2 linked regions of the Ovis aries genome follow. The protein of the gene in region 1 purifies or fractionates together with the protein of each later gene. This does not show direct contact. Links are inferred from orthologs where the notes say so. Each region holds a gene or a part of one and is shown in the gene's direction. Other genes may lie near its edges. The genes, in order: PTPDC1 and PPP2R1B.

The links.
Region 2: the proteins of PTPDC1 (region 1) and PPP2R1B purify together in Homo sapiens (affinity purification with mass spectrometry; 3 studies listed by BioGRID and IntAct, counting the BioPlex papers as one, with this or other methods). This does not show direct contact. The link is inferred for Ovis aries from reciprocal best matches to the Homo sapiens genes PTPDC1 and PPP2R1B.

What each region holds. Positions count from the first base shown.
Region 1 is NC_056055.1:27,519,403-27,535,822, reverse strand, and holds the start of PTPDC1 (protein tyrosine phosphatase domain-containing protein 1), read left to right. Parts: upstream 1-779; 5' UTR 780-8,073; coding exon 8,074-8,374; exon of another isoform or gene 8,375-8,592; intron 8,593-8,858; coding exon 8,859-9,030; intron 9,031-11,081; coding exon 11,082-11,162; intron 11,163-11,386; coding exon 11,387-11,505; intron 11,506-12,695; coding exon 12,696-12,833; intron 12,834-14,542; coding exon 14,543-15,798; intron 15,799-16,420. UniProt on the Homo sapiens protein: May play roles in cilia formation and/or maintenance.
Region 2 is NC_056068.1:21,767,778-21,784,197, reverse strand, and holds the start of PPP2R1B (serine/threonine-protein phosphatase 2A 65 kDa regulatory subunit A beta isoform), read left to right. Parts: upstream 1-4,834; 5' UTR 4,835-4,851; coding exon 4,852-4,965; intron 4,966-5,842; coding exon 5,843-5,933; intron 5,934-6,337; coding exon 6,338-6,438; intron 6,439-9,600; coding exon 9,601-9,833; intron 9,834-10,119; coding exon 10,120-10,267; intron 10,268-14,655; coding exon 14,656-14,811; intron 14,812-15,473; coding exon 15,474-15,588; intron 15,589-16,008; coding exon 16,009-16,079; intron 16,080-16,420. UniProt on the Homo sapiens protein: The PR65 subunit of protein phosphatase 2A serves as a scaffolding molecule to coordinate the assembly of the catalytic subunit and a variable regulatory B subunit.

The sequences.
Region 1 (16,420 bases):
CTTCAATCAAATGACACAGAGTGGCAGACTAGATAATAAAAGAAGATGCTGCCAACAGGAGACCCACCTTAGGGTGAAGGACACACATAGATTGAAAGTGAGGGAATGGAAAAAGGTATTTCCTGCAAATAGAAATGACAAGAAGGCAGGGGTGGCAATACTTATATCAAGCAAAATAGACTTTAAAACAAAAACCATAAAGAAAGATAAAGAAGGACCCTGTATATTGATAAAAGGGTCAATACAAGAAGATACTACGCTCACTAACATATATGTACCCAATATAGGAATACCTAAAACAAATGCTAGCAAGAAAAAAGAAAAATTGATAGGAATATATTAATATTAAGAGACTTTAAAATCCCACTGACACCAATGGACAGATCTTCCAGACAGAAAAATCAGTAAGGTAACAGAGATCCTAAATGACACAATACAACAGTTATACTTAAATGATGTACTCAGGACATTACATTTCACTCCCCCCCCTTCCAAAAAAAAATGGAAAATAAATTCTTTTCAAGAGCACATGGAATATTCTCTAGGATAGACTACATATTAGGACACAAGCCCTAACAAATTTTAAAGAGCATAAATAATTTCAAGCATCTTTTCTGACCACAGGAGCATGAAACTAGAAATTAACCACAGAAAGAGAAGTGAAAACAAGGTTACATGGAAACTAAACAACATGCTGCTAAAAATCCAGTGGGTCCATGATGAAATGGAGAGATTTTTTTTAATTACCTCAAAATAAATGACAATGAAAACACAAATAGCTTTTCATGAAGATGGCGCCGAAGGCGAAGAAGGAAACCCCTGCCTCTCCTAAAGCTGAAGCCAAAGCAAAGGCTTTGAAGGCCAAGAAAGCAGTGTTGAAAGGTGTCCACAGCCACAAGAAAAAGAAGATCCAGACATCACCCACCTTCTGGCGGCCCAAAACACTGCGGCTCAGGAGGCAGCCCAAATATCCTCAGAAGAGCGCCCCTAGGAGAAACAAACGACCACTATGCCATCATCAATTTCCTCCTCACCACCGAGTCAGCCATGAAGAAAATAGAAGACAACAACACACTGGTATCCATTGTGGATGTCAGGGCCAACAAACACCAAATTAAACAGGCTGTGAAGAAGCTCTATCCCATTGACATGGCTAAGGTCAATACCCTGATCAGGCCTGATGGAGAGGAGAAGGCATATGTTCGACTGGCTCCTGACTATGATGTTTTGGATGTTGCCAACACAATTGGGATCATCTAAACTGAGTCCAGCTGGCTAATTCCAAATATAAAAGTTTTCACTATGAAAAAAAAAAACACACACACACACACAACTAGACAAAAAGAAGATGTGGTACAATGAATATTACTTGGCTATAAAAAAGAATGAAATAATGCCATCTACAGCAACATGGAGGGACTTAGAGATTGCCATACTGAATGAAATAAGTCAGATAAAGAAAGACAGGTGTTATATGAAGTCAGATAGAAAAAGACAGGTATCATTGCTTATATGTGGAATCTTTAAAAATGGTACAAATGAACTTATTTACAGAACAGGGGATCTTCCTGGCTTAGAGATCGAACCTGCATCTCTTACATCTCCCACATTGGCAGGCAGATTCCTTACCACTAGCACCACCTGGGAAGCCCCTGTGTATTTATGGAAGGAGGGCTGTTAGGAGGAGCCCTGTGTTGTTGGATTAGAATTGCTAACAGCTGCATGAACTCTCAGTTTTCAACATAAATGCATGCATATATAAATATGGATGTAAATGTGTGGTGTATGTGTGTGTATACGTGTATATATTGTACGCATTCTTTAGTTCTATCCACTGAGAATGCCTGCAGGCAACAACTCTTTAACTGTAGTGACCACACGTAGCATCTGGGCTTGGTTTCTAAATATCATTTTTCACCATAAACACCAGAACTTATTAGATCTAATTATGAGGAAGCAGACACACCCAAATTGAGGAAATGTTCTACAAAATAACTGGTCTGTACTCTTCAAAAGCCAAAGGTATCGATATCAAGGAAGGACTGAGGAACTTGTTCTAAAGTGAAATAAATGAGAAGACAACTAAAAGTGTGTGATTCTAAACGTTGTGTAGTATGATTTTACTATAAAGAACATTGAGATAAATCAGTGGAACTTGTATGAGGTCTAAGAAATAGTGGGCAACTAATAATATACAATTATAATTTTCTGATTTGGGGGAATTTTGGAGAATTTTTTGTGGGAAATATACACTAACTTATTTAGAGTAATAGAGCAGCATATCTGCAGCTTATTCTCAAATGATTCAAGAAAAAAAATTTTTGTATTATACATAAAACTTTTCTATAAGTTTGAGATTGCATCAAAAAGTAAAATCCTTTCCAAATATTTTTAAAATTAAAACTAAATTGTTCAACTCTGTTGAATGTGTGCTAAAAAGTAAAAATAAGACAACTATAAAAAGGACCATCAGAGACCTTCAGTTCAGTTCAGTTCAGTCGCTCAGTCGTGTCCAACTCTTTGCGACCCCATAAATCGCAGCACACCAGGCCTCCCTGTCCATCACCATCTCCTGGAGTTCACTCAGACTCACGTCCATCGAGTCCATGATGCCATCCAGCCATCTCGTCCTCTGTCGTCCCCTTCTCCTCCTGCCCCCAATCCCTCCCAGCATCAGAGTCTTTTCCAATGAGTCAACCCTTCGCATGAGGTGGCCAAAGTACTGGAGCTTCAGCTTTAGCATCATTCCATCCAAAGAAACCCCAGGGCTGATCTCCTTCAGAATGGACTGGTTGGATCTCCTTGCAGTCCAAGGGACTCTCAAGAGTCTTCTCCAACACCACAGTTCAAAAGCATCAATTCTTCGGCGCTCAGCTTTCTTCACAGTCCAACTCTCACATCTATACATGACCACAGGAAAAACCATAGTCTTGACTAGACGGACCTTAGTCAGCAAAGTAATGTCTCTGCTTTTGAATATACTATCTAGGTTGGTCATAACTTTCCTTCCAAGGAGTAAGCATCTTTTAATTTCATGGCTGCAGTCACCATCTGCAGTGATTTTGGAGCCCCAAAAAATAAAGTCTGACACTGTTTCCCCATCTATTTCCCATGAAGTGATGGGACCAGATGCCATGATCTTCGTTTTCTGAATGTTGAGCTTTAAGCCAACTTTTTCACTCTCCACTTTCACTTTCATCAAGAGGCTTTTTAGTTCCTCTTCACTTTCTGCCATAAAGGTGGTGTCATCTGCATATCTGAGGTTATTGATATTTCTCCCGGCAATCTTGATTCCAGCTTGTGTTTCTTCCAGCCCAGCGTTCCTCATGATGTACTCTGCATATAAGTTAAATAAGCAGGGTGACGATATACGGCCTTGACGTACTCCTTTTCCTATTTGGAAGCAATCTGTTGTTCCATGTCCAGTTCCAACTGTTGCTTCCTGGCCTGCATATAGATTTCTCAAGAGGCAGGTTAGGTGGTCTGGTATTCCCATCTCTTTCATAATTTTCCACAGTTTCTTGTGATCCACACAGTCAAAGGCTTGGGCATAGTCAGTAAAGCAGAAATAGATGTTTTTCTGGAACTCTCTTGCTTTTTCCATGATCCAGCAGAAGTTGACAATTTGATCTCTGGCTCCTCTGCCTTTTCTAAAACCAGCTTGAACATCAGGGAGTTCACAGTTCACATATTGCTGAAGCCTGGCTTGGAGAATTTTGAGCATTACTTTACTAGCGTGTGAGATGAGTGCAATTGTGCAGTAGTTTGAGCATTCTTTTGCATTGCCTTTCTTTGGAATTGGAATGAAAACTGACCTTTTCCAGGCCTGTGGCCATGAAACAGATCACAAATGAAAATAGCAAATGAAGTCAAATTTTCTTTTTAGAAGTTTATCTGTAAAGGGAAGAAGGCAGGGGTTGGGGGACTCTCTGAAGAAAATGAATTATAGTGAAGGATCTGGAAGCAATGACTATTAATGTTTGTAAAAATTAAGATTTGCAATGGGGGAGTCTTGGAGAGGTTCTGTCTTCAGATATTTGAAAACCTTGCAAGTCAGAGAGATGCTTTATTTTTCATTTTTAACTTCCCTGATAGCTCAGTTGGTAAAGAATCTGCCTGCAATGCAGGAGACACTGGTTCAATTCCTGGTTCAGGAAGATCCCCTGGAGAAGGAATAGGCTACCCACTCCAGTGTCCTGGCCTGAAGAATTCCATGGACTGTACAGTCTGTGGGGTTGCAAAGAGTCGGACACGACTGAGCGACTTTCGCTTTCAAAGGGAGGAACCAGGACCAATGTTTACAGAGAAATGGATTTTGACTCAACAGTAGGAAGCATCTTGAGCTGTCAAACAGTTGAATAGTTAATTTCCTTGTGAGAAATGAGTCTCATGTCACAAAAAGTGGAAAAAAGAGGAGCTAAAAAGTCAGTGTTCTAGTCTAGCTCCTGGAAATGACTGCTTTATTGACTTAGGACTGAGACTACATAGACATGTGACTAAATGGACATGAGACTCTATGGACATGTGTATGAGCAAGCTCCAGGAGATGATGAAGGACAGGGAAGCTTGGCGTGCTGCAGTCTGTGGGGTTGCAAAGGGTCGGACATGACTGAGCGGCTGAACAAGAACAACAACAGCCTATCTCTGTGGTTGTCAGAAAAAAAGTTTTTTTAGCTTTTAGATGTCTATTGAAAATATGGCCCTTCATAAAATTACTCTTGCTTTAAAACACTTCCATTTTATATAAAACATGAAAAATACTAGAAATTAAGTAGTCTTGTTGCTCCTTTTAAGAAAAAGGCTTCATTTTTTTTCCAATTGCTAATTTAAATAAATATTAAAATGTTAGTCTGAACAATTCATCATTAGCAATCTATATGATTCATCCCAATTTAAAATTTTTAATTGATTTTTAGGATGTAATACAAAGTCTTACAGAGGTGTGAAACAAAAAGTATGAGTATTAGTAACTAAATTGATCCACAAAATGAATAAAATAACTATTTTTTAAAATAATACAAAAAAGAGAGACCAATTTGTACTAATTTGGTACAAGTTCTAACATGTTTTATTCCATGAATTAGAAGATAATCCCTTTAAAGTCATGGCATGATTGCTTTTTGGCAACATTCTATGAATGAAAACATGGTTATGTGGAGATATGGATTTCTGAGGTCACGGAGGTTGGCAAAATAGCTTATCAGGGACAGCATCTCTTGATCTTTATTTTAATGCTGTGTTCCTCTCTGACTTCAGGAAAAACCTGTGATTTGCTATAAAATATTACTCCTTTCCACTTGTATAAAGTTAGTTGTTCAAACATGTAAAGTCAAGTAAATAAAAATATGAGCCTTGCACACCAGTCATATCATCTCTGGTTTAATGAAGGAAAAAATAGAAGTAAAAAATTTTAATCCTGAAAATATATAATACCTTATTTTTAAACAATATAATAATAGCCTAAATAGTCAACAGCTAAAGAATGACTAGGTAAATTATAATGCATCAAAATCTTGTGCATCCACTAAATGAAAATAAGACTAAAGCAAAATGGGAAGGTGTTGGCTATGCTGCTTAGTAAAAGCAGGGGAAATTATTTGCAATTATGACTACAAATAAATAGAAAATCTACGTGCCTGTGGACAAATATTGAAAGGAAGATGAGTTTAGGGGTGGAATGAAAGGTACTCTTCCCTATTGTAACATCGTTTGGCATAAATAAAAACTGATTTTTAAAGGTGGATTTGGCTATGAATTGGGCATTTTTAAAGGAGTAGTTTGGAGCATGCAGTAGTGAGGTTGACAGTTCTGACATGTCTTGGGGAATGGAGGCCTCTGCTCTGTCTGTCGTGCCCACAGGTGGGTAGCACTCCAGTTCAGCACCAGACAGTGCCAGTGTATCCCAGCACCCCTGGGTGCCCCAGGTGAGTGAGCAAGGCAAGAATATGCTGAGAGGGAGGGCTGCAGTCACCTTTTGGATTCCTGTTTGCTTTCACTCTACTTTACTGAAAGCCCAAACTCAGTGTCCCTGTCTGGTAACTCAGCCCACTAAGTGGTTGCATATTTATTTGAGGCCAGACCAGTTCTTAAGATTTCACAGCAGAAATTATTCCTGAGATGATAGAAAAATCTTCCCTTCCTTAGCTTGGTCCAGACAAGTCCTATCCTCATCAAATTCATTCTCATTTTCAGAACTGTTGAGCGCAGAGTCACTTGGACTCTCATGTCCTTAGAGCTGCACAGATCAGGCATTTCCTGCTCACTGGTTGAGGCCTCCTAGTTGCTGCCTCACATGCATTTTCATCTCAGATGGAGATTGCCTGCTGGGTTTTCTATGGCACCTTCTCGTTATGGACTGCATATTTACTGACTTAATTGTCTTGTTGCTGCTCGCTTAGACTTGAAGTCTTGGCATGCAGTGCAGTGTCCGCCCCTATACTATCTTGCTCCCACACTTACTGTCACTGTCCCAGCAGGCCCTCAGTCCTTGACTTCAATCCCTGTCTTTGCAGGGAGTGTTAACCCTGAGAAACTTGAGTCAGACTCCTGTTCCCCAACAGCAGACTCAGACTCCTTATTTTGAGCATTTAGGGCCTCTTGACATCAGGTTCCAGCATGCTTTCCTCACCACATCCTCTGTACTTTCCTTTCCTTTAAAACTGTGGAAGCTGTGCCTTCTGAATAGACTACATTAGAAGAAATTCTTTTTCATTGCTGTTTACAAAATGACAGGGGCAGGATGCTACACTCAAATTTAGACACCAAGTTGAGCTGCTGTATCTTATTTGACAAAACATATCCATTTGGAGAAATGGGGATGTGTTTTAAAAGGAGCAAGTTTTAAAGCATTATTAATTATTAAAATAGAACAGAACAAAGCAAAGAGCCCTATCTGTGACAATAGTTTGTTTCCATCTGCACATGGCCAGAATACCATTTGGAGAAACAGAAAGAGAAAAAGACACGGGGTGGGGTGAGGGTGTTGCAGTTTGACATTAACAAGAGAGGAGGCGGACAATGGGTGGTTGTTAACAATTTCTGTGTTCTTTATATCCTTTATCCTCAAGTTGCAACCTCCCCCTCATCCAGTTCCTTTAAAAAATGTGATACTTAGTGGATTTTCTTCCTGTGTCTCTGCCAAGACATTATTGAAGCTTCTCTTTCCCCTTAGTCAGCAACAAAAGACACAGAAGCATGTCTTTTGAGTTTTTGAGGGCTGTAGTTATGACTGCTGTAACTATCCAATAACCAAGAATTGGATTTTCACATTCTGAAAATAGAAATATGAAAATAAATGTCTTTGGTTAGTATACCAGCCCTCAAGATGTCTTTATTTCTTCTCTCCAAGCATTTCTTAAGTTGTTCTATAAAATAATAGAGGGTTTCGGGCTTCCAAGGTGGCCCACTGAAAGTCTACCTTTAGTGCAGGAGATGCGAGTTCAGTCCCTGGGTCGGGAAGATTCCCTGGAGATGGAAATAGCAATGCACTCCAGTATTCTTGCCTGGGAAATCCCATGGACAGAGGAGCCTGGCAGGCTATAGTCCATGAGACTGTGAAAGTGTCAGATATGATTTAGCAACTAAACAAAAAATAGAGGGATTTTTGGCTTTGAAAAATGATGTTTTAATAATGTTAGAGGTATCTAATATGTCCCACTTTATTACAACTAACTTTTTATCTGCCCTGTTCCAGAGAGGAGTAGAAAGAGAATATTTTTCAAAATATTCAGAGAATAGATAAGAAAGGAAGAACAAAATTTTGGTATTTTAATAATGTGTGTGTTTGCATCATAAAGACATTTTTCTAAATTCATTACAATATTTTAGATATAATTCTCTGAGCAGTCAGATCTTTTTGACGGTATTTGAGAAACAGTAGAAAAGTCACATTTTAGGTATAATCTATTTAAAATACATGTTATTCTTCCCTGTATTCGAACAATCTGTTCAAAACACAATCCATTCATAAGGGATTTTGCTTGTACAGATCTGAGTGGGAATCAGTACTTTCTTTGTTTGTCACTATGGAAACAAGTCAGCCTATCCTGAACAGCAGTTAGATCACGCAGAGTGATGCTCACATCTCAGTGTAACTTCATCATGGAGCAGGCTGGCGCTGACATCTCGCCTCCAGCTCTTCCCTCCTGGAAGCCCAGCACCATGCAGGATCCACCCCGGAGGCTCTCTGCTGTGCCATTCCTCAGCTCCTTTTTCGAGGGTCGTCGCCACTCTGCCTCTGACCCTATCCTGCGGCTGCAGCAGGGGCGGCGCAGCTCTGCTGCCAAGGTGCTGTCCTCGTCCTCTCTCCAGGTGATGGTGGCCATGTCCTCTGTCAGCTGTGCTGAGAGAAACCCAACTTGCCCCGAGAGAAAAAGTAAAGCTCCTTTTCTTCTTAAAGATTGACACACTTTTGAGTTTAAATACAGTGATTGTGAAGAAGCTATGCTGTGTTTATACCTTTTAAAATTTTGAGAATTCTGTGTTATACTTTCTATTGTCTGTTATGCTAAGAGATTCAGTAGACATGTAATAGATAAAAATGATTGAATGTTTTATGTTTTTTTTCATTAAAAATGTAGTTCTTGTGTAAAACTCATTTCTTTGTAGAAGATCTGCTGTAACAGTTTGTTCCTTTTCATTACCAGTACCCCATATGGAGATTCTTGTGTGCAAGGGCCTTTTCCGAAGTAAAGGATAGTGCACTTATATGAAAGGGAAACAGTTTTATTCCTGACAAAATGAAGGGGATTTAGCACCAACTTGTCATGCAATCCTGAGAGAAATTGGAAGCTCTTTCCCTTGTTACTATTCCATTTGGGGAGCAGGACTTTAAATCTTCCCTTCTTCGTCTATTCTAGGAAATTCAGGACGTCCAACGCCAAAATATACAAAAGTTGGAGAGCGTTTGCGGCATGTCATTCCTGGACATGTGGCCTGTTCTGTGGCATGTGGTGGCAAAGCTTGCAAGTATGAAAATGCAGCTCGCTGGAGTGAACAGGAACAAGCTGTTAAAGGGGTCTACTCGTCCTGGTAAGTGATTCTGTCAGTCTTTGATAGCTCCCACCTACTGCTAAGTAGGAAAAGGAAATGGAGTTGTAGGTGATGGCCAGAGGCAGTAGCCTGTAGAAGAAAGAATGTGGGATTTTGAAGTAAGAGGGCCTCACCTTCCATGCTTGGCTTTCCCTCTTGACCATCTGGCCTACTCACAGGCACTCTGAACCGCAGTTTCCTCATCTGTAAAATGGAAATAATGAAACCAACCCTATAGGATTATTTGTTTTTAATAAAGTAGAATGTTGTAGGTAAAGTATCTTAAAGAATTGGTAACTAGATAGATTTTAAATTTCATAGACTGCTAGAAACAATTAAAATATTCAGCTATAAATTTGAGAAATTATGAGGCATATAGGTAGTTTTTCACTTTCATGTAGGTGAACTTTAGCCTCATTTTTATTTTGTTCCTGTACTCTGTATAAAAGGATACATTTTCATACAAATACATACACTTCCAGTCTGCCTCAGTAGAGGGTGGTATAAGTTGTCAGTTCAGTAGATGATGTAAAATGCTTTCATTGTTTATGGTATGTAAGTGTAATTCATTATTGAATCATGCTGTTTTTATTATTATTAGCAAATTGTCAAGTATACCTTTTTTGATATAGTGATATCTTTGAAAAATTCTGATATTTAAAACCATATTTGGAATGCACTAAGAAGAATTCAATATTTAAATAACTCTGCTGGTGAAGCATTTTATAGAGTAAGAATCCATGTACAAATCAGATATTTGTCAGCCAGTTTACTAACCTCCAGCCCTGTACTTTTTCACATTGGATTTGTTGGGTACATGTGTAGTGTTATAGTCTGGGGTCCACTGTCATTACCTTCATCACTACCTTTCTTAAAGAGTGTCATGAAAAAGCAAACACTACTCCTGAGATGTGGCCAGACACATAAATTTATAATAATGCAGCTTAAGGTCACATTAACATTTCTGGTTTATTGTTGACTAAACTCTCTTGTTTTCACCTCTGCTGCTTTCACATTACATCTCTCCTAATCTTACACTAAGTGCTATTACATTTGGGGGATCCCAAACCTTCGTGGTTCCCTGTTTTTAGATATTGCCCCAGTCATGAGAGATGGTATCTTTCTGAATCCTGACCTGCTCATCTGATGTCTCTATTACTCCTCTCAGGTTCTTGTAACCCACAACTTGTGACAGTCTATCTTAGGTATCTTTCACCAGACCACTGGTGAGAAATTTGATCAGAACAGAGGGAAGTTAGAGCCCTAGTGAGAATGACAGCCATTTACTGGGCCTCTGTCCATTTGTACACTCAGTAAACATCCATTTGGTTACAGGCCAGTCACAGTGCTAGACATTTTCAAATTATTGTGGTCATAAAACCCTTTTAAGTAGGCATTGTTAGTGTCATCTTATTGATAAGGAATTGAAGTCCAGAGAGACTAAGTAATTTGCCACACAGCTGGAAAATAGAAAAGCCAGCATTTGAAACCAGGCCTGACTGACTCCAAAGTGATTTTTTTTTTCTAAATCATAATAACTCAGCATTTATTCATAACCACATGCCAGGATTTATGCTAAAAGACTTTATAGTCACATCATATTGAATTCTCACACGAACCCTATGAGGCAGGCGTTATTACCCTCACTCAACACATTAGATAACTGAGGTATAGATGACTAAAGTAACTAAAAATGCTTCCCAGCTGGCCCTCCTTATTTAGTCAGTAACCTCTGGATAACTAATCCAGGATGTTACTTTTGCTGCATGGAGCTGAGGTTTCTCCATCATTCTGTCATGGCCGCTAGAATCTCATGAAAGTCCTTGAAGATACTTTGCTGGAGCCCATAAATACATTATGTTCTGGAATTGTTTCCAGGGATTTAAGAAGTGAGGGTTTCGTATAGCCCTAATCATAATACAGAATTGAAGCCAGATTTGTATAAGGAGATTCTTATCTTACAGTATTGTTGAAATCAGAGAAAAAGTAAGGGCTTGAAATCTTACTTTCTCAGTTCTGTGCATTTCATCAGTCCCTTCTCCCATCTGTAGGGTCACTGATAATATCCTGGCCATGGCACGCCCATCCACTGAGGTCCTGGAGAAGTTCTGTATCATTGAGCAGTTCCGAAGGTAAATGTCACATGTTTAGACACTGTAATAAGCCAGCTTATGTCTTCTTTTCCACTGCTTTTGACTTAAAATAGAAAAGTCCCTTCATTTTACCAACAGAAATGTGAGGAACTTATCTCAAGTAAGATAAAGTTTTAAGAGTAATGTTTATTAATACCAAAAATGGTTATTTTTTGTTAACACTACCTCCCCAATATGACTAATTTTCTTCTTTTTCCTTTAAGCCATGGGATAAAAAGTATCATTAACCTGCAGCGTCCTGGTGAGCATGCCAGCTGTGGGAACCCTCTGGAACAAGAAAGTGGCTTCACATATCTTCCTGAAGCTTTCATGGAGGCTGGCAGTAAGTCTTTCCAACCTCCTTTCCATACGTTACCAAGGACAGAACTCAGAGACTTTTGTCTGCTCAGTTCTTAGGTTAAAAAGGTGATGGAAACAAAGTTCATGCACAGTAGTAGGGCTTCTGGAAAGTGAAGATGAGATAACTTTGTCTTTAAATATCTTATTTAGTATTGGTGTTGAAAGTACAGAATTTCTTTTTTCCTGTGAGAGAGATCTTGAGAGGAGATCTTGTAGAAATAATACCTGCATAATTAACATAAACAGTATGTCAGACCTATCATCTTATTTAATCCTTAAAGCATTCGTGTAATGTAGTTGTTCTGAGACTTCCCTGATGGTCCAGTGGCTAAGACTGTGCTCCCAATGCAGGGGGCCTGGGTTCCATCTCTGGTCAGGGAAGTAGATCCCACATGCTGCAACCAAGACCCAGCACAGCCAAATAAATAAATGAACGTTTAACTATATATATATATATATATATATAGAGAGAGAGAGAGAGAGAGTTGTTGTTCTGCTTCACATATGAGATCACACAGACTGAGGAAGTTCTGACTTGCCCAGGATTTACACAACTTAAACATAGCAACAAGATTAAAACCCAGGACTTATTTGTGCTTTTTCCTACCGCATAGCTCTACCCAGTGGGTAGGATGTGGGGATTCTGTATGTGACAAGTCCAGAAGCTATCAGTCACAGGAGCTTTAGCATAGAATCCCCTGAACATGTGTCATTCACACCAAGCTAGAAAGGATCAACCTGTGCCACTTCTACAACTTGAAGTTCATGCTAGCTTTTTATCCCACTAGTTAGAAAAATCTGTATGTGCCACCTCATGTCATTTATCAGTCAGTCAGACATGTTTCAGTGCTTAAACAAGGTTGCATGCTTTCCCTCCATGGTAGAGTAATTTTGGCATAGGTCATCAACTTTAATTTATAATCCTGCTTTTCATTAATTATTTCTGAGTTTCAGCAGGAAATGTGTTAAATAACACAGAACATGCTTTTTAAGAAATGCTAACAGTAAATTTACTGGAAATGGGAAAAGCCTGTTATTTTAGGTCTACACATCCAGTGAGATCTGCGTGTTTTACAGCTGTATACTTTTCATGACTTCACTCAGTTTTTTCAAATGTCTTTGCAAGTATTTCTCCTATATGTTGATTTCTTCTTGTTCTTTCTCATTGTCCAGTTTATTTCTACAACTTTGGATGGAAGGATTATGGTGTAGCGTCCCTTACCACCATCTTAGATATGGTGAAGGTGATGACATTTGCCTTACAAGAAGGAAAAGTAGCTATCCATTGTCATGCAGGGCTTGGTCGAACAGGTAAATTCTAGGGGGTGGTTTTATTGCCTTTCTGTGTATTTAAACATATAAGGAAAAACATTTCCTAGTTCTTAAGGATAGTTTTCAGATTCCTATCGAAGGTTTGGAGTCAAATGGAGCAAGTCAATAAAAGATACTTGAAATATCTTAAATAGATAGTTTCAGTGACCATATATCCATGAGAGTATTTTTTGAATGATTTAGAGTTAAAACTGCATCATATTGAAAAATAGGTGGGTTTCCATAGCTAGCTGAATGACCTTTCTGATTTTCTTCTTTCAAGGAAAAAAGTCAATACTTTTGTTTTTAATACATAAGTCTTTTTAAAATTTTATCTTCATTAACCAAAATAATAATGGAAATAGCAAGCATTGTTTCATCCAATAATCTTTTTAAGTTGTTAGCAACACTGTAAGTTTTGAAGGAGGTTAATTTGCTGTATCTAAAGTGACAGGACCATGATTTAAAGCCACTGCTATAAGGATTTTGTTTGTAGAGTCTTAACTGTGCCTAAGTTCTGTATAAAAATCAATGATTTTACTTTAAAATGCAGCAGAATATCAGTGCAATGCCAAACCTAGGGCACAAAAAGGATGGAATCTTCATTGGTCATCTAAGCCAGCCCCCAGACACCAGAGTTTGACTCTGTTTACAATGTACCCATGTACTTACCGCTGGCCTTCCCACTTACTGGGGAGGGGGATGGGGACGTAGTTCTGCTTCAGATTGTCAGCTCTCATGGTTGAGCCAAGATCTCACTGTTCTAGGGATTCCATGTGATAGTTTTGCAGACATATCATACTTGCCCTAAAGAACTGCCTTATCCTAGTGAGAAAGATATGTTGGACCTTATGTCATACTAGGAAACCAGGCATTTTTCAGAGGTTCTGATTTTCGTGTGTAATGAGATTCAGAAACTTCATGAATCACACAGATGTCTTTTGATTTGCCTTTTACTTGATGTTAATTAACTGTTGTATTTAAATTAATTTATCACCTTTTTATTATTCATTTCAGTTTAGTATTAATGATAGTACATAATTTTTACACTGTTAATGTGGTCTTCCTTACTATTAAGTACTTATAGAAAAGTATCTGTGGTCTGGAGGAAAATATATATTAGTTTAGGCATTAGTTTATTCTTAAAGAAGAAACTTCAAGAGAGGAAATAGATTGTGAAAATGAATAGTCGCCAAAAATAAAAACACCCAAGTGGGAAAAATGCAGGTCTGGAATGTGCCACCAATTGATGTCAAAGCTGAAAGGGCTGGGAAGTTCCAAGCAGAACGTATGGAGTGATTGAATAGAAATTTTTAAGGACTGTTCAGAGTGGAAAGCAGTATTGGCTTTCTTCCATGTTGGAGTTGGGCATAATGAGGATAAATGAACCAGGTCATCAGTTCATTCAGTCATTGCCCTCCACACTCAGCCATCCTTCCTTACTCCACACCTGCTCAGGTTCACTGTGACAGTACTTGTGCTTGCCCTGTGGTACAGAGGTGACCAAGGGTTCTAAGTCAAGGGGAGGGTTACCATAGAGACAAGTAAATAGGTGAACCCGTGTACCAAAAGTTTAAGTTATCATTGTTCTTAAAATGTTCCTATATATATATGGTTTCCTAATACATATTCAAATTTTAAAATCATCAAAGAGTATAACTAAAAATATAAATTTTTCTCATACCAATCTTCATTTCTTCATTGTTTAGGTGTTTTAATAGCATGTTACTTAGTTTTTGCAACAAGAATGACTGCTGACCAAGCAATTATATTTGTTCGGGCAAAGCGACCTAATTCCATACAAACTCGAGGACAGCTACTCTGTGTAAGGGAATTTACTCAGTTTCTGATTCCTCTTCGCAATATATTCTCTTGCTGTGACCCCAAGGCACATGCTGTCACCCTAGCACAGTATCTCATTCGTCAGCGGCATCTGCTTCACGGATATGAGGCACGACTTCTGAAACACATACCCAAAATTATCCACCTCGTTTGCAAATTGCTGCTGGACTTAGCTGAGAACAGGCCAGTGGTGACAGAAGAAGTGGCCGACATACCTGGCCTCTCAGCTGAAATTGAAAAGACTGTTTCTGAGATGATCACAAGGCAGCTGGATAAGGAGTTACTGAGACATGACAGTGATGCATCAGACACTTTCACCCCCAATGCAGTGGTGATGGATTTTGAGAATCAGGATGTGGTTCTTTCCAGTGAGCAAGAGTTGGACCCTCTTTGGAAGAGGCGGAATGTCGAGTGTCTTCAGCCCCTGGCTCATCTGAAAAGGCAGCTCAGCTACAGTGACTCAGATTTAAAAAGGCCCGATTCGCTTCTGGAGCAAGGGAGGACTCCATGGACAGTGCCTGCCCAAGCCTTGCTTTGCCATAATCCCAGGCAGCAGAAGCACATAAGCCGTTGTTACTACCCACAGTCTCCACAACTAGATTTAAGTAAGGAAACGCTGGTCCGCAATACATATTCTTTCTGGAATCACACTAAATTTGGAGTCCCAGAGGGACTCAAAGATGATGGGTCATCAATTTTCCATAGGACGAGCATTCCAAAGGAAGTACAGAGAAGTAGAACCTTCTCTTCAGGAATTTCAGGTTCATACAACCCTGGGGAACCAGTCGCACCAAACTTTGCAAATATTCCTAAGGGACCAAACTGTTCTCAACAGAAAGTGTACCACTGTGAGTGTGAAAGTCACGGTGGTCGTGGCCTAAGCTCTGTTGCAGAGGATGGTGAGACTTGCCGCCGCCCTGTGGACTGTGGGTCCAGTCCCAAAGCACAGTTCTTGGGGAATGAAACTCAGAACAGCAAATACCTGTGTGAAGTTGCTGCACATATGGCTTTACAGTCTGAGTTGAGTGTTGAAGCAAGGAGAATACTGGCAGCCAAAGCCCTGGCAAATTTAAATGAGATTGCAGAAAAGGAGGAAGTGAAAAAGAAGGTAGAAATGTGGCAGGTATTTGTATTTCATTTAATTATTTATGAGTAGGAAATATTTTTGTCAGAGCAAAAGTAAAACACTTTCCCAAGTTCATTTGTTTTCAGGAATTTGAAGACATTTTGGTATAATACATAACTTTTGAATGTCAAGTTACTCAACCGTAATACCAAATTGCTGTCATTGAAACAACAGACACAGGTCTCTTGTATAGGTTCATTTCAGTCTCTGTGAAAGAAAGCACTTAGTGCTCAGCAGTCATCAGTGTGCTTGACTGATCATGGCAATGATAGTGATTGATGACAATAGTTTCCTTCTTCCTTGCTGGGCCTGTGGGACTGATGGCCAGATGGATAGACAGCTGTAGGAACTGACCTGAAGCATCTCTAACCTGAGCCCTAGCAGGGAACCACACTTGGAGAACCCCGAGCTGAGAGAGAAAATGAAATAGAGACAATTCTTTCCCAAAGCTCATTAACCCAAGTATCAAGTAAGGACAGAAAGATGAGTGATGAGTGCTGACTGCTCAGCAATCCCTCCCCAGCCCACCAAACAAGGCAGGTGTTGGATTCCGGAAAGCAAATGGGAGTGGCCACAGAGCCCCTGTGTCCACTAGTTTTATCTGAGATTGAGTTCCTGA
Region 2 (16,420 bases), on another chromosome or scaffold:
TGCCGAGAGAACCTCCCCAGGCACAGTTCTCTCTGTGCACACAGCCTTTGCTCCCAGAGTGGTGACTCTGGAACAGATCAGCCCTTGAAGGAGTGCTTACCTGTAGAGCTCTGCGGAAGAGGCAACCCTAGTAAACGTGAGGCAAGAGGCAGGAGACACAGCGACGTCATTCAGACTTCCTTAGGACTAACCCTTTTCTATTGCGACACTCAGAAATGTGGATCCCGTCAGCTTGTACTTCTCAGTATTCTGCACGCTTCATCTGACCAGGAACTGGCAAGTCTAACCTTGTCTTCCTTTGATTGACTGGATAAGTGAACTGTAATTGGGTGTCTGAATTCAGTGCTTCTGTGCTGAGCATGTCACACTGCTTCCCAGGGGTTGCCTCCAATCCCGTCTTATCTCAGTGGTTGCCCCTGATGCTCCTGGGTCAGGAGTTTCTTGTGGTGCGTGAGGGACAGGGAAAGGAGACCAGAGGGAGCAACAGAGGGGAGAGGCAGGTGTGGAAACAGCTCAGCGCCGCAGGACTGTATTTGTGGTGCTTTGCTAGCTCCAGGAATCCCGCAAAGGAGGGATCTAGTTTAACTGGCAAAACCCACAACCAGAAGGGACAGAACTGTTTAGCAAGGAGCAACTGTAGTTGTCATTTGCTTTTTCTGGACAGAGGTAGCTTCCAGAGGCTACCTGAGCAGACTCTTCCTGAGCAGATGTTTCCTTGTTGACCTGGAAATGATTTTTCCGGATAAACTTATCAAATCAATGACTTTTGAATATCAGTGTACATTAAAATCACCAAGGAGCATGGTAAAAATGTGCCCCATTCTCAAGGATTCTCATTCAGTAGCTCCTGGGTGTAGGCCAGGAATCAGCATTTTTAACAAACATTTTAGGTGATTCATGTAGTCAGTGGGCCACACTCCCCAAAAGACTGTCTTAGATTTAGTTCCAGTTTCCCTTCAGCCTAATTTTTGAAATAGGCTCTTTCTGCTGCCATCTATTTGTTTTAATCACTTTCTTTATTGAAGGATTTACTAGCATCTCCATGTTTACTGTTTCATTCTCACATAATCACAGTAACTGGAAAGGCAGTCAGAGATGGCTAGCTCCATTTTATTGAGGGTGAGGGGGTGGAGGTGGAACTGAGGCGTGGGGAGAGGTAAGTCATGGTGAGTCAGCCACAGAGGTGGGAATTGAAGTCCAGAATTGATGACTCTCAAACCAGGCAATCTTCTGGGGCCTATTTTCTCAGCTTGTGATTTCATATTTAATCATAGTTATTTCATAGGTGTCCAATTCATTGTGCTTGGGTAAGCGAAGTGTATTTGAGTTTTAAACAAAATAGCTTAGCATCCATCAGTGTACTAGTTTTTATATTTAGCGTATTGAAGCTTGTCTAAGCTTGAGTTAATATCTGCCCTGAGAGATGATGTGGAACTGACTTAATGTGCTTCTTTCTGTGCTTGCTTCCTTTATCATTTCTGACTTTTTTTTTTTTTAGGCCTGCTTCATCATACAAGATTTCAGTTCCCTGACCAGAGTCTTAACCACTGGACTGCCAGGGAAGTCTGATGAAGACTTTTAAGAGAATAGATTTCTCTTCCTCATGACAATAGGAACCCCTCTCTGGTCTTCTGGATAGAGGACTAAGTCAAAAAACCTCTTAATTTTCTTTTTCTCCAACTTGTATAGTACTTGGAAAATCTTGAAAACTCTCACTTTACTTATTTTTATTACAGTGTGACTTAAATGTACAAATATAAAGTAAGAATATAATGATCTTTTATTTATAGTTCTTATATAACTAAAAATATCACAAGACTAATACCATTCAAATTAATATCATAGCAGTTTAACATGGCAGATGATGTATTTTGCTGAGATTAAATTATCCCTTGTATTGTGATTATGGTATTCCTGTGAAAGCTCAGCTTCTTTTGAGTTCAAAATACCTATACCACCAAGCAACCTATATTATCTCAATTTTCTTACCACTTTTCTGTTAGAACTGCTGTGACAATGCAGTCTATGATGTGGTCTGGCTTTCATTTTATGCATGGAAACACATTTTCATTTTAAATCCACCTCTGTTCCTTTCTCATGATCCCAGAATAGTTAAGGCACCACTAAGACATACATGCAAATACAAGTATTGAAATCCCAAGGCAATACCAGGTTATAAAGTGGTCATTCAAATAATCCAGAATGCCTAAATTAAGAATTACTGTTCAGATTCACTGGTTCCCATACTTACACTATGATCAAAAGCCTTATCTACTGTGTTTACTTCCAAGAATGCCATTTTTTTTTAAGTCCCCTAAATTAGATTCTTTTTTCGATGATCCAACGGATGTTGGCAATTTCACCTCTGGTTCCTCTGCCTTTTCTAAAACCAGCTTGAAAATCTGGAAGTTCATGGTGCACGTATTGCTGAAGCCTGTTTTGGAGAATTTTGAGCATTACTTTGCTAGCGTTTGAGATGAGTGCAATTGTGCGGTAGTTTAGGCATTCTTTGGCATTGCCTTTCTTTGGGATTGGAATGAAAACTGACCTTTTCCAGTCCTGTGTCAAATTTGCTGGCATATTGAGTGCAGCACTTTCACAGCATCATCTTTCAGGATTTGAAAGAGCTCAGCTGGAATGCCATCACCTCCACTAGCTTTGTTCGTAGTGATGTTTTCTAAGGCCCACTTGACTTCACATTCCAGGATGTCTGGCTCTAGGTGAGTGATCACACCATCATGATTATCTTGGTCGTGAAGATCTTTTTTGTACAGTTCTTCTGTGTATTCTTGCCACATCTTCTTAATATCTTCTGCTTCTGTTAGGTCCATACTATTTCTGTCCTTTATTGAGCCCATCTTTGCATGAAATGTTCCCTTGGTATCTCTAATTTTCTTGAAGAGATTCTAGTCTTTCCCATTCTGTTGTTTTCCTCTATTTCTTTGCATTGATCGCTGAAAGGCTTTCTTATCTCTTCTTGCTATTCTTTGCTATTCTCTGCATTCAGATGCTTATATCTTTTTCTTCTTTGCTTTTCGCTTCTCTTCTTTTCACAGTTATTGTAAGGCCTCCTCAGACAGCTATTTTGCTTTTTTGCATTTCTTTTCCACGGGGAGGGTCTTGATCCCTGTCTCCTGTACAATGTCACAAACCTCCGCCCGTAGTTCATCAGGCACTCTATCTATCAGATCTAGTCGGTTAAATCTATTTCTCACTTCCACTGTATAATCATAAGGGATTTGATTTAGGTCATACCAACCTAGATAGCATATTCAAAAGCAGAGACATTACTTTGCCGACTAAGGTCCGTCTAGTCAAGGCTATGGATTTTCCTGTGGTCATGTATGGATGTGAGAGTTGGATTGTGGAGAAGGCTGAGCCCCAAAGAATTGATGCTTTTGAACTGTGGTGTTGGAGAAGACTCTTGAGAGTCCCTTGGACTGCAAGGAGATCCAACCAGGCCATTCTGAAGATCAGCCCTGGGTGTTCTTTGGAAGGAATGATGCTAAAGCTGAATGGAACTCCAGTACTTTGGCCACCTCATGTGAAGAGTTGACTTATTGGAAAAGACTCTGATGCTGGGAGGGATTGGGGGCAGGAGGAGAAGGGGACGACAGTGGATGAGATGGCTGGATGGCATCACTGACTCGATGGACGTGAGTCTGAGTGAACTCCAGGAGTTGGTGATGGACAGGGAGGCCTGGCATGCTGCAAGTCATGGGGTCGCAAGGAGTCAGACATAACTGACCAACTGAACTGAGTTAAAATTAGGTTTATTGATAATTTTCCTTTTTTATTCATCAGACACATAAAACTACCATTTCAGAGCTTGTGATCACCACAGGTAGCTATCACTCTAAGTCGCTTATAGTCCAAAACAAAAAGACAGGACATTCTAGTTATTCTGTGCTGCCTGCACAAGGGTAAATGGAAACTTCCTACTAAACTTTGCAAGAACTCTTATACCTTTGGACCTCCTCCCACCGCTGCCTTTGAGGACTCTTGGAGTTCTAGAGAGGTCAGGTTAGCCTTTTTTGTACAAGCAAAGTAGCCGCTTCACCCAATTTGGAAGGATTAAAGCTTGTCCTAGTTTTGCTTGATTGTTGTACTTCTAGCATGCTAAAGACCTAAAAAATAAGAGAAAGAAAATACACAGAAGGCAGCATTCCAGTACCAAACTGAAAAGAAACACAACAAGAGAGCAGCATGTTTTTAACAGCTTGCATGGAGAAAGCGGAAAAAATATTGACTGGGGAGTTTGGATAGCACTGTTCATTTTCTCTCACCGCCCGCGGTATTTGTCTTAGGGAGCAGGAGCCAGATACAATTCTGGCGCACAGGCCGGAGGAAGGGGTGGAGGGGTTCTGTGGAAGCTTGTGGAAGCCTGAGGATATAGCGGGGGAAATTAGGGCTGGAGACCCAGATGGCTCCGGGCCAGGATGAAGTCGGGGGAGGGAGGCGCTAAGTCTTTTTTCCTCCTGGCCTCGAGCATCCTCTTGGTCCCCTGAGTCCTAAGAGGGCACAGCACACGTCACTCAGGTAGGTTTCCGACGCCTTCAGATCAGCACGAGCAGGATGAATCCCTGTCCCTATTTCTTTCTCCTGGGAAAAGGACACGGGGGCTCCTTTCGCCTTCTAAGCCCATCTGTGTTTTGGAGTTCAGACCTACAGCTCCGGAAAAGGGGACCGGGCGGGGGTCCCCACCTGCTCTGCAGGCACTCAGTTCCCGGACTCCCGCTCCCGCCGAGCCCAGGCCTTAGCCCCGCCTATCAGGGCGCGGGGCGGGGCCAGGGCGCGGGGCGGGGCCAGGGCGCGCTGCGGGCGGCGGTAACCCGGCGGAGGAGGAAGAACATGGCGGGTGTGGCGGGGCCTGCCACCGGCTCGGGGGCCGCCGGCGGAGATGGAGACGATTCGCTCTACCCCATCGCGGTCTTAATCGACGAGCTTCGCAATGAGGACGTGCAGGTATTGGAGTCGCGCCCGGCAGCGGACGCGGGCTTGGCTGGGCGCGTGGTAGGGAAGGGGGCCAGCCGGCCCCCGAGGTTGGGGGAGGCCCGGGGATTGAAAGCCGGGACTCTGAGCGGAAACTTGACGGGGAGGAGAGGAGAGACACATGAGGGACCCGTGAGGACCCGGCGGCCCCGGAGCCTGCCCCGCACGCCTTGTTCTGACCCGCTGAGGCGGCGGCCCGGAGTCCCACCTGGTCCTGGGTGCTTGTGGGGGAACCGGCTTGCCGCCCGGGCGCCCTTTTTGGGCCTGGCGGTGAGGACGCCGCGTCCAGCCCGGGGCTGGCAGCGCCCGTAGCGGGGCGAGCGGGAGGCGGGCGGCGCGGGGCCGCGAGGGGCTGCGGGACGCCGAGGCGCCCTGTGAAATGCAGGGGAATGACTGCCTTCCTCGCGGCCTGCTGGAAACTGGCCCGGCTTGAGTGGAAATTAGAAATTAGGTGGGGTGGCTAAAGTAACCGAGGCGGGATGTCAGCTCTGATGGAACTTTTCTTTGAAAAGCCTGGGGTGGTACTCAGCCATCTCACCTGCTTTACCACTGCTACAGTTCTCTTTTTAAAATTGTCTCGCTTTTCCAGATATTGTATTTTCTTTCATTTCTTTAATGGGCCCGTCAGAGGGTTTCTCCTGAGAAATCTTACTTTAGCTAAAGAAGGCGTGTTCCCTTGTTTTTGAGGTTCCTCATAGAATAAAGTGTAAATTAAAGGTTTTTTCCCCTTCTTATCTGTATGCCATTACCTCACCTGTTTGCAGCTACTCTCTTTTGGTCTAAATCACAAGTGCTTCTTAACTTCATTCTTCTTTCTACCTTTTTTTTTGTTTTTTGTTTTTTTTTAAAGCTCCGTCTCAATAGTATTAAGAAATTATCAACAATTGCTCTAGCGCTTGGAGTAGAAAGGACACGAACTGAACTGCTGCCATTTCTTACAGGTATGTGACTCTTTGAGGAAAGGCCTGGGCATTTCTGTTTTCCAATGGCTTTCGAAACTTGGACTATTTTGAATTTGTTGCCCATAGTATTAGTAAGTACTAAACTGAGCCTGTTGTTTCTACTGTGAAGAAACAGGGCAGAGCATACATTGTAATGTTGTGGCCAGACATATTCAGATATTAACTATTTAGCTAATAGAAAAGTAATTGATATGTAATTATGAATTTCTAGTTACTTCTGTAAAACAAATCCATGAAGACACGTGATTGAGAAGGAGGAAAAGGCGGTTAGGATGGCGGCAGATCGTCTACTTACATATGGAGTCTCTTCCTAGTTTTGTATGAGTGTCCAGCTTTGGGCCAGCTATCCTTGTTGATGAATACTGGGTTCTTGTCATTTCCAGATACAATTTATGATGAAGATGAGGTACTGTTAGCTCTTGCTGAGCAGCTGGGAAATTTCACTGGCCTGGTGGGAGGTCCTGACTTTGCCCACTGTTTGCTGGTGAGTATATTCTGCCTGCTCTCCTTCTAGAACTTTTGCAGTATAAATAGTACATTGTTTGGTGATAGGCACAGTGCAGCATTTTTTTATGCAGATCTTTTTAGGGATAGTCACAGTGTTAGCTATTGAGAGAACAAATAATGTAGGCATTTTGGACTCAACCTTTCTTAATTTTTCTGGTTGTGAATGTGGGAACTTTCTCTTCTCTGACTTGTTACTTTAGCAGTTAGGAGAAAAAGGACTGGATTGTTTCTGTTCATGGTTTTTTTTCCCTCTTATGGTGGAAATCTTAATTCTCATCTAACAATGCTGTGGCTTTGGAAATGTTTATTAGTTTTGTCTTTAATTTTAAGTGTAGCTTTTGATTCTGACTTCCTTTGTGAATTTCATTTGAGAACCTTCTATATCAGTCACTGAAGTTACAATGTTCATGTTAAAGGTGAGCACCAGGGTTTGGGAGTGTAATAAGGCCTCTGTCCTTTTGTGTCAACAAGTAATTACTATGTGTTAGATGGAAAAATTTGAAGCACATGAAAGAGAAAGGGATTAACCCGGGGTGATAGGGGAAGATCTCTTTGGGAGAGAATGTCTGAACTGGGGTGTGAAAGATGACTAGGAATTTGACAGCTGCACAGGATGATGGGGTTGTATGCTTCAAGGCTTCAGTATTGGCTGTATTATATTGCTGACTCTCATGACTTCTGTCTTTACCTCTGACCTTTCCATGGAGCTCCAGATATAGATATATGTAGAAAGATATAAATATCTGTGTTATATATATCTGCTGTGGTTTTTCTACTTGGGTGTGAAACAGGCATTTCAAATTTAGTTTGTCTAAAACAGAATGCAGTTTTTTCCCCAAAGTGTATCCTAATTAGTTGTCCCATTGCAGTAAATGGCATCACCATCTACCCAGTTAGTTGCGCAGCCAAAACCTGGGAGACATTCTTGAATCTGTTTCCCCTCACTTCCCACATCAAATCCGTCAGTCACTCCTGTAGATTCTGCATGTATTGCAAATCAGTTCTCTTTCTTCCATCTCTACTACCACTTAGCTCATCTTTCCACTGGTCTTTCTAGACCACGTGGTCTTTCCTCTAGATTATTGCAGTAATCTAGTTGCTTTCCACTCATGCCTTCTGCCCCACCACTCCAGTTCACTCTTCACCCAGAGATGGATCACTCACTCCCTTCCATGGTTCTTAGAAAATTCATAATTTCTACCTTAGTTTGAACCTTAGTTTATAAAATTTGCCCCTATGAGCCTATCTCATATCATATTCCCTCTTAATAACCTCATTCCATTCACAATAGTCTTCCTTCTATTCTTTGAATATACCAAGCTTACTGCCCTGGATAGTCCCTATAATAACATGTGTTTTTGAGCTTCTTGTGACTGGCTCCTTATCATTTAGATGCCAGCTTTAATGCGTCTCAGCAATGCCTTCCCTGGCCTCTCAACCTGAAATTTCTTCCCCACTCATCCCTTACCACATCATCCTTGTTTTTACCCCCTCTTTGACTGCACCACATAGCTTGTGGAATCTTAGTTCCCCAACCAGCGGTTGAACCCTGGTCCTCAGCAGTGAAAGCACAGAGTCCTAACCATTGGGCCACCAAGGAATTCCCCCTGTTCTCTTTACAGAGCATTCAACACCATCTAGTTATTGCCCTGATGAGTTGTTATCTTTCTCCATTAGAATATAAAACTGTATTCAATGTCCTGTGATAAAGCGATAATGGAAAAGAAATATATGTATAACTGAATCAGTTTGCTGTGCAGCAGAAATTAACATTGTAAGACCACTGTACTTGAATAAGTAAATCTTTAAAAAATTAAGAAAAGTCAAAAGACACCCCCCCTCCTAAAAGTAAACTAGCGCAAAGAAATCATGGCCTTATTTCTTCCCTCTCCACAGTGCTAGAATTTAAAAGTAATTATCATTTTAAAAGAAAGAGTTTAGGAGCCTTGGAAGTGTGAAACTGGTTGATTGCAGTATAAAGTGTTGGTGCTAGAGTAGGCGGAAGTGGTGGTCCCAGGGCTGTGGGAAAAGGTCATGGAGAAATAGGCCAAGTTTTAATCAAGAGACAGGAGCTTGCTCTTCCGTAGTAGTGATAGAGATTATCAATGATACTGCATGAGAGGAGGTCAGAGAAGGCAGTGGACAGAACTCGAAAGGCCTTTGCTTTTAAGAAAACAGTATCTTTTCAGAGGGCTTCTGAAATTTCCCTTAGGAAAGCTGAGTACCTTATATCAAATAATTTTTGAAATGTATTATGTAGACTCCCTTGTTTCCTTTGACTCATAATTCTGTTTCACTCTCCTGGTCAGTTCTACATGTGGCTTTTGTCTTTAACATTGGCACTTCATGCTCTATCCTGAATCTGCCCGGACTGAGTGCAAACCCAGAAGAGCAGCAGTTCAGAGAATCTGCCCTCTGTACTTTTCCCTGGTCTGTGCCCTGCTCACTCACTGATCCTAGTCAGGGCCAACCCCTTTGGTCTCTACTGTTTCTAAAGCTGCAGGCAAGGATTCCTACTGTCTCTGTACCTTTAACTTAATTGTTCTTTCATAACGTCCCACTCTGTGTCTGGCTCATGGAAAAATTCTGGGTGTATTCGGAGAAAAGTAATTTTGCACTCAGCCTTTAATAGTTTGGAAAAGTCAGTGGTGCGGAGTGAATTGACAGAGGTAGCTTCCACCTCCAGGAACGGTAGAATGATACTCCAGACGCCGTGGACTCGGTGTCCTGATGCGGGGTTCTCCTGTAATTGTGGTGCCCCGTGGTGGTCATGTTTCTGCACTCACTTTTGAGGAAGTACACATGGTTCTGTCGAATTTGGCTACACAGCCTTTAAATTGAGTGATTCAGTTCACAGTGATATTAATATCGTGTCAGGTCTCTTCTACCATGTCATTCATAGACACCATCTGGGAATTGCCATCTGGGACAGGAAACCTTGGCTGTCCTACAGAAATCGTGTCTTCAGGTTGGACACAGCATATGCCATCACCGTGTGAACTGAGAGTAACTGTTTGGTGTGATGTAGCTAACATTCTGGTTGCTTGTCCCACCTCCTTTCAGTCACTTTAAAAGATGATAATCTGTATCTAACCTGATTGAGTAAGTTTTCTCTGGTTTTCCATTTTGGTCTATCCAGCCTCCTCTGGAAAGCCTGGCAACTGTGGAAGAGACTGTGGTTCGAGACAAGGCTGTGGAGTCCCTGAGGCAGATCTCGCAGGAGCACACGCCAGTGGCTCTGGAGGCTCACTTCGTACCTCTGGTGAAACGCTTAGCGAGTGGGGATTGGTTCACCTCTCGCACATCCGCATGTGGTTTGTTCAGCGTTTGCTATCCCAGGGCTTCCATTGCTGTCAAAGGAGAAATTAGACAGTAAGATATGGTATTTTTTAGTTATTTGGGGTTATTGGAAGCTCACAGCTGACAGGATACACACTACCCTGTTACCAGTGAGTGGCTGGTATCAGGGTAGTCAGATCGATGACAACAGTTACCAATGTCCAGGTGAAGGTACCAGTGGGTTTTCCTTTGTTACTTCTGTGAGTAGAAGTCTAATGCCTGATGTTCGTAGGAGAAAACCTCTGAAATTTCTGTATGTGTTGGGGGGATGCTTAATCAGTGGCATGTAACAGGAAATACCTTCATTATTTTGCTGCAGGTACTTCCGTTCCTTGTGCTCAGACGACACACCAATGGTACGCCGTGCTGCTGCTTCCAAATTGGGTGAATTTGCAAAAGTTTTGGAATTAGACAGTGTGAAAAGTGAAATCGTTCCTTTGTTTACTAATCTAGCTTCAGATGAACAGGTAGGTTAACTCTTAGTAATTAAAGTACACAAATATGCGCTTACATTTGAAGAATTTCTTTGGATGTTTTGGTTCTCATGTTAGTATCATTTTTTTTCAGAATTATTACTTAATTCTGGCCTGGCTAAAGTTTAAGATTACCCATCCCAGTGTCCTTATAGTTCTTTCTTAGCCAAACTGTGATTTCCTTTTCCATTTAGCATCTGTTGAAGGGGAGTTGAGGAATTGGGAGCCATAATTAGGAAGGAAGACCAAAGCCACATTAAAGAGTAGCTATACCTTTGGGTACTGCAGGCTGAGTTATTGTGGGACAGTAATGTTTCCTGGAATTTTGGCATTCAGGTAAACAAGCATAGCATGTATTGGGAAGGCTCTTTGACCCTCTGCATCCTCTCTATGAGTGTATGGGATAACTTTGTATGAGGGCAGTTATAAATCCAAGAATCTCCATCTCATCAGTGTAGAAATTAGCAATAATAATGGGTTTCCCTGGTGACTCAGTGCTAGTAAAGAATCCATCTGCCAATGCAGGAGACGCGGGTTCAATCCTTGGTTTGGGAAGATCCTCCGGAGAAGGAAATGGCAACCCCCTTCAGTGTTCATTCTTGCCTGGGAAATCTCACTGGAGAGGGGACTGGCAGGCTACAGTCCATGGGGTGGCGGAAGAGTCAGACATGACTTAGCGACTAAATAACAGCAAAAAGCAATAATAATATGCTAGTAAGCACCCAAATGAATCTTTTTCAGCCTGTTTTAAGTGGTTTACATATGTGAAGTAATTCAGCCCTTACAACAGCCCCAATTGGAAACAGGCACAGGAAATTGGAGTAAGTTGCTCATGGTTGCATAGTGAGCAGTGTTGGAGTGCAGACTTGAGTCTAGGCAGCTTAGCTCCAGAGTTGTGACCTTCATTGCTGAGCTGTAGTGCTCTTCTTATGGTGCTTTGGAGAATCAGCGCCCTGAGTTCCTGGACGCTAGAAGAACAGTTTACCTAGTTCTGCCCTCAGATCACTGTATGTTTACAGGATCCAGAGCAGCAGATACATACCTTGAGTCTCATGTTCAGATTCTAGATTTGAAGATGATAAATCTTTCAAAATAATTTTTTAAATTTGTTAAAATAATATATACAAAGCAGTACAAAGTGAATATGCATCTTAAGTAATACAAGGCATGTTATCCTGTAACTTTCGTCTGTGAAAGGATACAGAACTTTGATAGCCATTATCCAGGAAGCCCAGCATGATCTGCCTCCCAAACACACTCCCCTCCCAGTTCCTACTCCCTACCCCCTTAAGACTGTAACACTGTTTCTTGATTTTTGTGGTAACCACCTCCTTACTTTTCTTTGCATTTTTACTATTCATAAAGTATGGTTTAAAACAACACCATCTAACAGAAATACAATGTAAGCTACCTGTTAATTTTAAGTTTCACAGTAGCCATAGTTTAAAAAGTGAAAAGCAGGTGAAATTGATTTCAATAATGTATTTTATTAACCCAGTATATCCAGAGTAACTACCATTAGAATGTGTGGCGCTAGTTGTGTTTCAGGCGCTCAGAAGTAGGGAGTAAGTAGGATAATGGTTGTCACATTGGAGAGCACAGGTTTAGAATCCTTATTTGAGATTTTGTTGATTACATTTCCCATGGTATAACGCAATGTTTTCTTTTGTCCTGCAAAATTGGTAGTTGAATCTAGAGTGGAGATTTGTGAATTTTTTCTGTAAAGGGCCCGATAGTAAATATTTTAGGCTTTGTGGACCAGACAGTCTCTGTTGTAACTACAGAGCTCTGCTGTTGTGTGCCACACACTGTCATATGCAGACTAACGGGCATGGTGCTGTTCTGGGAAAATTTTATTTACAGAAACTAGCTGCTTTCCATATTTGGCCAATATCTGCCTCAGCCCTGATCTAGAGGCTTAATGAGAGCTGATTTGATATTTTGGGGGCAGTAAGATCACTTTGTTAGATGGAGGCTGCTTTTCATCAAGAGGCATGTCTTGTTGTGGTATTAACAGCAATGGATGCTGAAAGAATTATTTGTTTAGTTGTAACGTGTGTGTGTATTCACTGTGACCACTGATAGAATTGCTGCTCCTTTCTTAGTCATTCACTGAGAAAGTATTTATTGAGTACATTCTGTGAATCAGGCACTATTCTTCATGCTGGCTTTCAGTGTTAAATGAGGGACCGTGCTGTTGTGCCCTTTATATTTTAATGAAAGAAAGCACAGTAAACAGATAAAATATTAGGGATCAAAACGATGATGGAGGGACTTCCCTGGTGGCTGGGAACCTGCCTTGTAATGCAGGGGACATAGATTTGATCCTTGGTCAAGGAACTAAGATCCAGCATGCTTGGATCAGCTGTGGAGCAGCTAAGCCTTCCTACCACAGCTGCTATGCCCTTGTGCTACAACTAGAGAGTTGGTGCGCTGTATCAAAAGATCCTACATGCTGCAGCTAAGACCCCAGTGCAGCCAAATAAACGTAAAAACTGTTGGGAATTGGATAGGGTACCATAGTGGTGGGGCGTGAATATAAGCATTCTTTTAGACTGGCCAGTCAGAGAACGGCCATGAAGAGGTGCCATAAACTGAAACTTGAACAGAAAAATGCCGGCGACGCCCTTTCCACGTGTGTCAGAGCTCTAGGAAAAGAGAATTCCAAGAGGAGAGGACATTCAGTGTATGTAAAGATCCTGTGCTTGGAGCATAGTGGGTGAAAAGGACTCTGATAAGAATTTGGATAAGATAATCGGCTACCCACTCCAGTATTCTGTCCTGGAGAATCCCATGGACTGTACAGTCTGTGGGGTTGCAAAGAGTTGGACACGACTGAGCGACTTTCACTTTTCAATCAGGGCCCAGATTGTGGGGGACCTTTAAACAGTGTGTTGAGTTTGGGTTTTCTTTTCTAGGTATAATGAGAACACACCAAGATTTTAATCAGGGATGTAATTTTATGTAACTTAAAATTTTAAAAGATTGTTCTGGCTTGTAGGTGGAAAACTAAATTGTAAGGTGAGGGGTGAGAATAGAAACACGAAGACAAGTTAGGCGACTTTTACAATAATCCTGACAAGAGACAGTGGTAAACTAGGGTGGCATGGTGAAGATGGAAAGAATCTGGTGATCGGTTTGGAGGTGGTCAGTAGAACTGTGATTGAGTTGGAAGAAAGGAAGAGACATCAAGATTTCTTGATTTTACTTGAGAAATTGGGTGGATACTGCTGTCACTGCCAAGATGGAGAAGATTCTGGGAGGAGTAGCAGATACAGGGAAGAAAATCGGGAGTTGTGGGAGAAGAGTAGTTGATTAGTTGAAAAAGTATTGATGGGTGTGTGTATTTACATCGATGAAAGTAGCTCCTTGATTCAGCATAGTTTTTGGAATCTGAAAATAGCTGTATGACCAGTACCAAAGATAAAGTTTTGCCTTTTTTAGCCTGTTCATTTAGATAGGGTAGTGAGTATCTTGGGCATGTAGTAGGTCATTGTTGATCTATAATTTTTAAAATGTATAATATTTTGGAAAGCTGGAGGTACTGTTGCCTCTTGTGTGCTTGCGTGTGCACAGGTACACACGTATAAGTATGTTACATACTTTTACGGTTTTTGACGTTTCATCTGGGGGCTCAGATGTTTATGTATTTCCACTTCCTACTAATATATTTATGATTCCCCAATCTATAGTCTCAATTCCTGATTTTTCATTGATCTATCTATTTGTATATTACTACTTTTACAAAGGATATATAGATAGTAGGTTGGTACTTGGCAGGTTACATTTGGGAAATTGAGTTCATTAATCCCTTTCTAATTTTTTCTGCTGGGTTTTCTAGGGTTGGCTATCTCAAAAGTTATTCTGTCCTTGATCATCGGCATTTAAATTTAATGTTTTTTAAAAATTACTTAAAATTTTTGTTTTTCTGTGTATTTTTCCAAGTCATTATCTCATGCCTAAACTCGAATTATTGCCATTCCTTACCCTTATCCCCTTTCTATTCCTCTGTTCTGATCTTCTATAAACAACTGGTACAAGCATGGTTTTCATTTTTAATGCTCAGCTTCCTAGAGTGAGGATTTAGAGACATCATTAAAATGTTCTTGCCTCACATAATCTTTACATTTTTATTTCATTTTCCTTACTAAAAATTCTGTGTTCTAACTAACGTCGTTAACTTTGCTGTTCACTCAGAGAACAGTCATTTCTGCCTTGCCATTTCAGGCAAAGGGAACAGCTATTTCAAGACATAAAGACATGAACTGCTTATAATGTTGTTTTTTTTTTTTTTTTAAGGACACCCAAGCACTACCACAACCGCACACTGCCTCATGGCTCTCAGTAAATACTGTCTAACAGAAAGGAATTTTGTTCATTAGGATTCAGTGCGCCTGCTAGCTGTGGAAGCCTGTGTCAGTATTGCCCAGTTACTGTCTCAGGATGACATTGAGGCTTTGGTGATGCCTACACTTCGACAAGCAGCAGAAGATAAATCTTGGCGAGTTCGCTATATGGTAGCTGACAAATTTTCAGAGGTAAAGTAGTGCACTGACATTTTTTAAGTACTAAAAGGAAGAAAACCCTCAGAAACCCACAGATTTGCTGTCATAACCAAAAGTTTCTGAATTGGAAGTGCCTGAGGCAAAAATATACATAGACCTTCCTTGACTCATGATAGGGTTATGTCCTGAGAAACCCACTTCAGTTGGAAGTGCATTTAATGGACCTAACCTGCGAACGGCATAGCTTAGCCTCGCCTACTTTAAACTTTTAAAGGACACTTACATTAGCCTACAGTTGGGCAGAATACTCTAACAGAAAACCTGTTTTATAATAAAATGTGGAATAGCTCACGTAATTTATTCAATACTGGTACTTAAAGTGAAAAACAGAGTGGTTTTAAGTGTATCGGTTGTTCCCCGTTGTGATTCCATGGTTGACGGGAAGCTCTGGCCTCCCCACTCTGCCCAGCATCACAGGGGGTAGTGCTACATAGCACTAGCCCAGCAAAGGATCAAAATTCAAAACGTGAAATTTGGTTTCTAGTCAACGTGTATTGCTTTCACAACATCCTAAAGTTGAAGAATCTTCAGTTGAACGATCATAAGTTGGGGACTGTCTATACTTGATGATTGCATTGTGCTTGTTAAGTTATTTTGATTAGAGTGCATTAAAACCTGTACAAATTCTTTTATAGCTCCAGAAAGCTGTGGGTCCCAAAATCACCCTAAATGACCTCATCCCCGCCTTTCAGAACCTACTCAAAGACTGTGAAGCTGAAGTCCGAGCAGCTGCTGCCCATAAAGTAAAAGGTTAAGGTGTCAGTTTATGTTGTAACTAGATCACTTTGGTGCATTTTTTTATGTCAGTGAATTTTGTATTTTTTTTTTTTTTGGTCTTACAGATTATGTTTTCAGAAAAATAGTGATGATTTTAATGTGTTGAGATGTTAACATTGTCACATAAAGCTACTCCCTTATTTATTTAAAACCAAATAGCTTCTGTTTAAAAAAAAAGTATCCAATCCAGATTGGATTGGTGTGGTACACAGTGGCATATAGATTGACCAAAAGGTGCATTTAAAAGCAGCCATTTTTCTTCCTTGGAACTTATTTGCTTAAACATATGATTTGATTTAACTTGAAACTTGATAAATCTGGTTAAATTTCTTCATTTGGCTCCTTGTAAATGGCTCTACATAAGCATTTTTTTTTTCTCTTTGTATATTTTAGAACTTTGTGAGAACTTGCCTATGGAAGGTAGAGAGACCATGATTATGAATCAAATTCTGCCTTATATAAAGGTAAACCTAACTTTAGTTTATTTTTTGTTACACTTTGCCCTGTGTGAAGGTAAACCTGACCTCAATTTTTGTTTGTATTACTTTAAAGCTCTTTGAATTTAAACGTGGACCAGGGATGAATGGGACAGTTATATTAATGTGTGACACTGTTATTTATTACTTATTAATATTTTGTAAGTGCAAAATGCTCTTTTTTGCATAGGTTTATTTTATCTGACAGATGGTCTGAGGAAACTATTGACTAATCAGTATTGAAAGAGCGCTATCTTTTAAAATTCCTTGAGAAGTCATTTGGAAGTTTCTGTTGTCTTGCAAAAAAACTAAAGGCTTTTAATTTTGAC